2 linked regions of the Saccharomyces cerevisiae S288C genome follow. The protein of the gene in region 1 purifies or fractionates together with the protein of each later gene. This does not show direct contact. Each region holds a gene or a part of one and is shown in the gene's direction. Other genes may lie near its edges.

The links.
Region 2: the proteins of VTC4 (region 1) and VTC5 purify together in Saccharomyces cerevisiae (affinity purification with western blotting; 2 studies listed by BioGRID, with this or other methods). This does not show direct contact.

Annotation. Positions count from the first base shown.
Region 1 is NC_001142.9:410,564-415,096, reverse strand, and holds VTC4 (Vtc4p), read left to right. Parts: upstream 1-1,697; coding exon 1,698-3,863; downstream 3,864-4,533. Other genes in the region: DNA-directed RNA polymerase III subunit RPC17, read left to right, coding at 327-812; MAD3 (Mad3p), read left to right, coding at 4,057-4,533. UniProt on the Saccharomyces cerevisiae protein: Catalytic subunit of the vacuolar transporter chaperone (VTC) complex.
Region 2 is NC_001136.10:620,305-625,542, forward strand, and holds VTC5 (Vtc5p), read left to right. Parts: upstream 1-1,807; coding exon 1,808-4,417; downstream 4,418-5,238. Other genes in the region: ILT1 (Ilt1p), read right to left, coding at 4,762-5,238. UniProt on the Saccharomyces cerevisiae protein: Regulatory subunit of the vacuolar transporter chaperone (VTC) complex.

The DNA of each region.
Region 1 (4,533 bases):
CAAGGTTGAAAGATAATTAGCACTTATTCCTTGAATAAGTGGGCAAGAAAAAAATATTAGCCCTGTAGGGGGCTCGAACCCCTAACCTTATGATTAAGAGTCATACGCGCTACCGATTGCGCCAACAAGGCTAATTCGTTGAAAAATCCTTCAATTCCTGAAAATTATACCAAGTAAAAAAAGGAAAATTGCCTGAAAAATTATTTTTTTCAATGCCATCGATCTATGAAAGTTAAGCAAATAACAGCCACAGTAGAAGAGAAGTTGAGTGAATCCAACACCCACCACTGAAAAAATCGACACTTAAACAAAAAACTTTAAACGTTATGAAAGTTCTTGAGGAAAGGAATGCATTTTTAAGTGACTATGAAGTCTTGAAGTTCCTAACAGATCTAGAAAAAAAACATCTTTGGGACCAAAAAAGTTTGGCTGCGCTGAAGAAAAGTCGCTCGAAAGGTAAGCAGAATAGGCCCTACAATCATCCTGAATTGCAAGGTATTACTCGCAATGTGGTTAACTATCTCAGTATAAACAAAAACTTTATCAACCAGGAAGATGAAGGCGAGGAACGAGAAAGCAGTGGTGCAAAAGATGCTGAAAAATCGGGTATAAGCAAAATGAGCGATGAAAGCTTTGCTGAGTTGATGACTAAACTGAATTCTTTTAAATTATTCAAGGCTGAAAAACTGCAGATTGTCAATCAACTTCCTGCCAATATGGTCCACCTTTACTCCATAGTGGAGGAGTGTGATGCAAGATTTGACGAAAAAACAATTGAGGAAATGCTAGAGATCATCTCTGGCTACGCATGAGTGTACAGTGCTTTGAATTGATTTGGACTGGCACTTCCGAAAAACAGAAATTACTTTGTTGTGTAACAATATAACATGTTCAATGAGTATGCATGTATTATTGAACTTAAGCATATAGAAATATTTACAAGAATATACTTTATTTTTTAGAGTTTATTGCGCACACTTTGGGTTAGTCTCGATTTTTTTTATTTCCATTGGAGGAAGGTTATTATTTGGAAATTTAGTGCTGCGTTATAAACGTCTGTAAAGCCAGTACCACAAGCAACTTCGGTGAGATTTAACTTTTGTTTATTCTGTATTTTTGTCGAGGCTTAAAAGGGTATACTAGTTGAGGGCGTTACAGTAATCCCTTCATGGCAAGAATAAAGTAATAGTTATATAATAATTGTCATACGCATTGTTATACCAGTTGACGAGTAAAAAAAGACGCACCGTGACTTCAAGAGCTGTCGCAAACAAGTTCGACAATATTTAACTTATAAACATATTAAAGCTTTCAAAAATATAGTCTTTCGAAGAGCTTTTTCATACTAAGAGAAGCGTTGCTAATATTCCGAATTAATCACGCAATTGCCTCTCTGCTTTCCACGTAACCCATCATAGGAAATTGTATTAATATGTTACTTACTGGAATTGCACAGGAAAACACCGACAAAAAATTGGTTTGTCTGCGTTTTGACGGAGAGCTACTGACTTGTAGGTTCACTTTTTCACACACCGCACTATGCATATATGTTGCATTTTTATTATTCATCCGCACGTGGCTGCACACGTGAATGAAAAAGAAGCAATACTATCTTTATATATTGAGGCAATCAGAAAGAAGTTACAGGCTAACAATCAAATCGGCCAATAAAAGAGCATAACAAGGCAGGAACAGCTATGAAGTTTGGTGAGCACTTGAGCAAGTCTCTTATTAGACAGTACAGCTACTATTATATTAGTTATGATGATCTGAAGACTGAGCTAGAAGATAACTTATCTAAGAATAACGGTCAGTGGACGCAAGAATTGGAAACAGATTTTTTAGAATCTTTGGAGATCGAGTTAGACAAGGTTTACACATTTTGCAAAGTTAAGCATAGTGAAGTTTTTAGACGTGTAAAAGAGGTTCAAGAACAAGTGCAACATACTGTTCGTTTGTTAGACTCCAATAATCCTCCTACTCAGCTAGATTTTGAGATTCTAGAAGAAGAACTAAGTGATATCATTGCCGATGTTCATGATCTAGCAAAGTTTTCGAGACTAAACTACACTGGTTTCCAAAAGATTATCAAGAAACACGATAAGAAGACAGGTTTTATCTTGAAACCAGTTTTCCAAGTTAGATTAGACTCTAAACCATTTTTCAAGGAAAACTATGACGAACTAGTCGTTAAAATTTCCCAACTATATGATATTGCCAGAACTTCAGGTCGCCCAATCAAGGGAGACTCATCTGCTGGTGGGAAGCAACAAAATTTCGTTAGACAGACAACAAAGTATTGGGTTCACCCTGATAACATTACAGAATTGAAGCTGATCATCTTGAAGCATTTACCAGTGTTAGTCTTCAACACTAATAAGGAATTCGAAAGAGAAGATTCCGCTATTACTTCGATCTATTTTGATAATGAAAATCTAGACCTTTATTATGGCAGATTAAGAAAAGATGAAGGTGCAGAAGCCCACAGATTGAGATGGTATGGGGGTATGTCTACAGACACGATCTTTGTAGAAAGAAAGACCCATAGAGAGGATTGGACTGGTGAGAAATCTGTCAAGGCAAGATTTGCGCTAAAGGAACGTCATGTTAATGACTTCTTAAAGGGTAAATATACTGTTGATCAAGTATTTGCCAAGATGCGTAAAGAAGGCAAGAAGCCAATGAACGAAATTGAAAACTTGGAGGCGTTAGCATCCGAAATTCAATACGTCATGTTAAAGAAAAAGTTGAGACCTGTAGTGAGATCATTCTACAATAGAACTGCTTTTCAATTACCTGGTGATGCAAGAGTTCGTATCTCCCTTGATACAGAGTTAACTATGGTGAGAGAAGACAACTTTGATGGTGTGGATAGAACTCATAAGAATTGGAGGAGAACTGATATTGGTGTCGATTGGCCATTCAAGCAGCTAGATGACAAGGATATTTGCCGTTTCCCATATGCAGTCCTGGAAGTTAAATTGCAAACTCAACTAGGTCAAGAACCTCCAGAGTGGGTACGTGAATTAGTCGGGTCTCACTTAGTTGAGCCAGTCCCAAAATTCTCCAAGTTTATTCATGGTGTGGCTACCTTACTAAATGATAAAGTGGATTCAATCCCATTTTGGTTACCTCAAATGGATGTTGATATCAGGAAACCTCCACTACCAACAAATATTGAAATAACAAGACCCGGTAGATCCGATAACGAAGATAACGACTTCGATGAGGATGATGAGGATGACGCTGCTTTGGTTGCTGCCATGACAAACGCACCCGGTAATTCTCTTGATATAGAAGAATCTGTTGGTTACGGGGCTACTTCGGCCCCCACCTCCAACACTAATCATGTTGTTGAGAGTGCTAATGCTGCTTATTATCAAAGAAAGATCAGGAATGCCGAAAATCCTATCTCCAAGAAATACTATGAAATCGTGGCATTTTTTGACCACTATTTTAACGGTGATCAAATATCTAAAATCCCAAAAGGTACTACTTTTGATACTCAAATTCGTGCCCCACCGGGAAAGACGATATGTGTGCCAGTTCGTGTGGAACCAAAAGTTTACTTTGCCACTGAAAGAACCTACCTGTCTTGGTTGTCCATCTCGATATTGTTGGGCGGTGTCTCCACTACTTTATTAACATATGGTTCACCAACAGCCATGATTGGCTCCATTGGGTTCTTTATTACTTCCTTGGCTGTGTTGATACGTACTGTTATGGTTTATGCCAAGAGAGTGGTAAACATTAGACTAAAGAGAGCAGTAGATTATGAGGATAAGATCGGGCCCGGCATGGTTTCTGTGTTTCTAATTCTCTCTATTTTATTTTCCTTTTTCTGCAACCTAGTTGCTAAATGAATACACAGCGTGTTTTTTTTACTGTATAATTAAGTAATAATCATATTAGATATAATAATTTCTTTAGCGCCATTTTTTTATATATGAGAACTACCCTCTTGCCTGAAATGCACACCTTCACCAGGCGCACACTGGTTCAAAAATAGTAAACAAAATCATGCGAAAATACAATAAAAGACGTTAACTTGATAGAATGAAAGCGTACGCAAAGAAACGTATCTCTTACATGCCATCGTCACCATCACAAAATGTTATTAACTTTGAAGAAATCGAAACTCAAAAAGAAAACATTCTTCCCCTGAAGGAAGGCAGATCAGCAGCGGCACTCTCGAAAGCGATACATCAACCACTGGTGGAAATAAACCAAGTTAAATCAAGCTTCGAACAAAGACTGATAGATGAGCTCCCTGCATTAAGCGACCCAATTACTTTGTATCTTGAATACATAAAGTGGCTGAACAACGCCTATCCACAAGGCGGTAATTCCAAACAATCTGGAATGCTCACCCTTTTGGAGCGATGTTTATCTCACTTAAAGGATTTGGAGAGATATCGCAATGATGTTAGGTTTCTTAAAATATGGTTTTGGTACATAGAACTTTTTACCAGAAATTCATTCATGGAAAGCAGAGACATTTTCATGTATATGTTAAGAAATGGAATTGGTTCC
Region 2 (5,238 bases), on another chromosome or scaffold:
TATCGCTTATTTTACCAGCAGTTAATTAACTAAAACGTTCTCATGGGGATGGACACCAGTTAAAGAATCAATAGAACCTTTTTCAAATCTCCATATGGAGCGGCCTCAATGAGTAGCAACGAGGGAAATAATTACTTGCTTCGGCTGCATTCAGTGATTAGTTAAAAAGTCGTCACCCTAAGTTTTTCTGTCGTATTTTAGGCATTTTCATTTTGAGGAAATATCGTATACCTGGTAATTGCCTATATTTTGAGATGAAGACTGTTTCTCATTTCTTTTTGGTCATCTCCTTGCAGAGCATTTGATAATATAGTAGTAATAATGAATTGTAGTCGATAAATGTTAGTTGATTCTCATTCCTATCGTATCGATAAGGAAACCTGAGAAATACCAAGGTTCAACGATAATGGCAAACATGCTTCATTAATCGGTATTCTTGATCAAATACTTCCTTGCCTGCCATACGGCATCCCTTAATCGCAAAATAGTAATATTCTTTCCAACTATATAACCGTTATTTTAACACACATTTCTCAAGAGACCCCTTTCTAGAAATGGCATGGAGTGGCAAGTATCTTCAAGCTATTTTTTAGTTGTTCATGTACTCCATAGAGTGACGGTTCTTGCAATTTCAACTAGTTTCAAGATAGTCATAAAAATTTGCAACCGAGCCCATTACTATATATATATATATACAAAAAATTTTAACATTAAACCTTGAGCTCGGGTTTTATCTCATACCAAGTATTATCAACCTTTGGCCGGTGTGTTCCTAATATGGTATCGATTTTCAAGTATACCGTGTAACATTTGGTTTTTGAATTATCCAGGGGTATTGCAAGGAATATCGTGGATCCTGCCATATGAAGGCGTGGATCTTAATTTATTCACCTTTACTGATCGTACCAAACGAAGTAAGCGTAGAAAGCTAACCAATTTCCTCTTGTTACAGAGAGAAAACTTTTCTTGTACAGTAAACTGAATATGCTACGTCGTAGACTTACAATGACGCCGCACTTAGGGATAGTAGTTACCTTGCTCACTTTACTGTCGTGATCATTACACCCGTACGTAATCGATGATCATTGCAGGAGAGGGGCACTTTGGTCTGACATCACTTTTTTTACCTAATCAAATAGATTGGCTTTTATTTGACAGATAAGGTTTATGATCTCTTTTTTCGAATGGAAAGTTCCATGCAGGCACCCTTTATCTCATTGTATTTAAACTACATATAGAATGGATGGAAACGTGGCAAGTCATATCAGGACGCTTTGAAGACTGATAATTAAAAACATTAAACAAGTTTCCAGATATCAGGAAGCGACCAAGCCAATATTCAGAACTTTCGTTTCGAAAAACACAGTAATATATTATTCTCAAAAATTACCACACTTTTTTTAGGCAAGGCTGCAAAATAATACCAGAAAAGCAGAGGCGGTTCTTAACTTCTGTGTAAATTCAGTGCAGGAGGACGGGTGTTGTGTTATTAACTTGCAAGGAAAAGAAAGTTTGTGTCTCCCCTTGTTCTACGCTAGCGAAATGGGTGTGTGGAAGAGTCAAAACTGAACCAAGAAAAAAAAAAAAAAAAAAACAAAACAGATAAAAAGATAAACAAAGGCAAGATCAAAAAGCCCTATCGTGAACGCTATCAAAGGACTTTTAAAATTCATAAATTAATAGTTCGTCCGTTGCCCTCTTGAATATAATAGAGATAGAGTTTAATACTTGCTTTTTACCTTTGCTTTTTTTTTGTATATCTCCATCTCAGCCCTAGGTAAGGATAGATACGAAGGGTTGTACAATCATGAAATTTGAAGATCGCATATTGAATAAATCAATCCCTGAATGGAAATTCTACAATATTAACTATGAGAAGTTAAAAGTAGCCATAAAAAAAGTAACGGCTTATGATTATGACAATCCAAATGATTCGGGCATGGAGAAGTTGTTGAATCAATGTTCAGTAGCCTTTGACCAGGAATTTCAAAATGTTAATTTATTTGTTTCTTTGAAAATAAAGGAAATTTCCACTCGTATTCTTTCTGTGGAATCATCAATAATCGATTTTTCAAAGGGCTTAAACAAAACTTCCAGAAACCGTTTCAACCTTCGTAAACTGAAAATCATCAACGCTCATGTAGACGATTGTAACTTTGAACTACAACTACTGTCAAGGTTTTTGATAATACAAAGGATTGCCTTGAGAAAGTTATTCAAAAAATTACTAAATGAATTTCCTCAAGACAGTGAAAATCCATTGACTGCAAGTGAGTATGTTACGTCGATCAGAAACTCTGAAAGTTTACGAAATGGACACGAAGGCATATCATTTATGAAGCTTGATTTAGATCCATATCTTTTAGAAGTTTCGCTAATTGTTGATGTTTTACATGATTTGGAAAATAAACTTGAAGATGCAACTGAGCCAGCAGTGGAGCAAAGATCCCTAAACCGCTCCGATGAATCTGCCCATACAAGTTCAAGTCCAGAAGCCAACAATTCTTCCTTGCCAGCATCTCCAAGGTCAATTCCGCTACTTTCAAACAAGAAAACTTCAAAAATGATTGATTCTTCGCTAGAATTCGATACTGCCCTCATAGATAAAGCAGAGAATCTAGGAAGGTTTTTATTATCGTCCGAGGACATAGAGGGACTGAAGTTCATGCTATTGAATATTGGTTTTAGGATAATTGACGATAGCATCATATCCACTTCAAAGGAGATTTTAGACACTACAGATAATATTAATTCTGCGGGCAACAAATCTATAAGATCAGCAAAGTCATTCAATGACTTACAACATACCTTATCCCTATCTAAACAGAAGAACATATTACCCTCTGCTGTACAATCCAATGAGAAGTACGTTTCTATTAGTATACTAGATACTGTCGGGAACGAAGGCAGTCCTTTACTACTTACTGATGATAATATAAATCAGCACCCAAACATGATAGTCAGCTCTACTGCTGAGGATACTTGTATAGTAATGTGCCACGTGGGCGGCTTAAGAAATCATGTTGTCACAAATGATCTGCTTCTAAGGGATGTAAAGAATATTCTTTCGGCCATGAGGAGTGGCAACGACACAAAAAATATTAGCGCTCTCATAAACTCACTGGATCCATCGCCAATCAGTAAGATCGCTTTGGAGTGGATTCAGTCCCATCGATTAAAAACCATTGAACCAAAGCTAGATTTTAAAAGAACAAGATTCATATCAGCAGACAATGGAGATATATACTTGATAGCTTTGGATGAATCTATCACTATTGGAAATGTATCTACATTACCCTTTCCAATTTTAGAAATTAAAAAGCTTAGTCGATCCAGTGGTCTTTCACAGACGGCTATTAATGAAGACAATAAGTTTAAACAGTTAATGAAATCAGTTGTTACAAATGAGTTTCAATGCAGCTTAATACCACCAGACTTAACCACATGGAAAATATGTTTAGAATTAGTACACTCAAATGAATTGCAAAATGATTTATTTCAACTTTTACTAAGAGATCAATATAAATTAAATTCCGATGATTCGCTATCACCTGATGAATTTTTCCAGCTGGGCAAGGATCGTCTAGAGGAAGAGTTTGACCTGACTGGGCCGATAAACAACTCACAAGGTAGTGTTGACAGCGGCAGAAGAGTTCGAATTCACAAAAAATCAAAGCAATCGGATAATGAAACTAAAAAGAAACCTATTAGGTATTGGAATGAATTTGATGAACAAGAAGAGGATAATTTAGACAATGCTTTTTACATTGATACTAATGGAAGCAGGAGTACAACAGATAACGAAGAATCCTTACTTTTGAGAAATTCTCCGCCTGATTATGGGTTTATTTTGTTTAGCCGGAATTTCATCAACCGCACATATGATTTTTGTGAGAAGTTACGAAACTTGATTCGCCATGACAAGAAAACATCGCCAGATTTGTTTCAAAACTCTAAGCATCCGCATTGTTCATCAACTAACTATGGTTCTGTTGCGTCATTTGGTTCACAATCAACTTCAGCGTCATATGATGACGTTCAAAGGTACTTACAGTATCAACAGCAAGACATAGAGGACTCACAATCTATCTACGAATATAGGCATGACGAAGTTGTTACATTTTTATACTTGTCTGCACTGCTAACATCTTGCATTATGGCAAGTGTATGTCTGGGAATCGTTTTATCCTTGTTTCGCGGGCAAAGTAATAATGAGATAGATTTAGAAATTCAAAATATTCTCATAGCCATTATTATCATTTCCTTACTGGTTTCCCTTATTTTGATCTGTGCGTGCCTGTTGTTGTTATTTAGTCGGTTCACTTTGGCGCCAATCTGGCATTATGTTGGTTGCTTCACAATGTTTTTCTCAGTTACTGGAACAGTGTGCTATGGTATGATTGAAATTTTCTTTTAATTATTTTGGACGATAAAAGTTTTTCATGTGTACAGTCTATATAAAATATGCATATCATGTGGTTACATAAGAAGAATGTTAATCTTGTTTGGAGATTTTGTTTTTGGAAACTTCGCCATTGCGAAGGGTGTTGCAAACTGAATTTCTGTTTAAGTTTTTAATTAATAATCCTTATTTTGATCTTTTCTGATGGCCGTGTTTGAACGCATAGTATTGTGAATATAAGCGAAGTGAAAACCTTTACACCTGCGGCAGATGCCATATTACTGCGCTAGTGGTGAATATTATTAAGCGTGCTATCAAAAAGAGATGAAAACGTGCTAACTAAAAAGGACTCAGATTCGTTACACACTTAGCCTCGAATAACGATCAGGATCTGTTCTAACCACAACTCCATGGACAGCATGCAATGTTTGGGCTCTTGATAACGTCCCCCCATCAGTACTATCGTATATATTAAAATCGTCTGCAAAGCTCGAAGCATCGTCGGGGATTGAACAGTTATCCAGGTTATAGTTAGTAACATTTCGGTCACTCTTGCTAATATCTTGTTCGATTTTTTCATCGGGTTCTTCCTTTTGAGCTTGGCCACTTTCTTCGTCAAAAGTATTGCCTTTAGCTAGGAATCTAAACCTACACCACCATATGAAATGAGACGCGAAAATTCCTAACTCCATTCCAGCAACTATTGAGTATAATATAATACCCATAATATCCATATTACCTAGGATAACACTGATGATAGATAGCCAAGCACCTAATGAATCGATGAATAAGAAGGCAAAGTTGATGCCAATAACACGACCTTTCCTTTTGGCTAG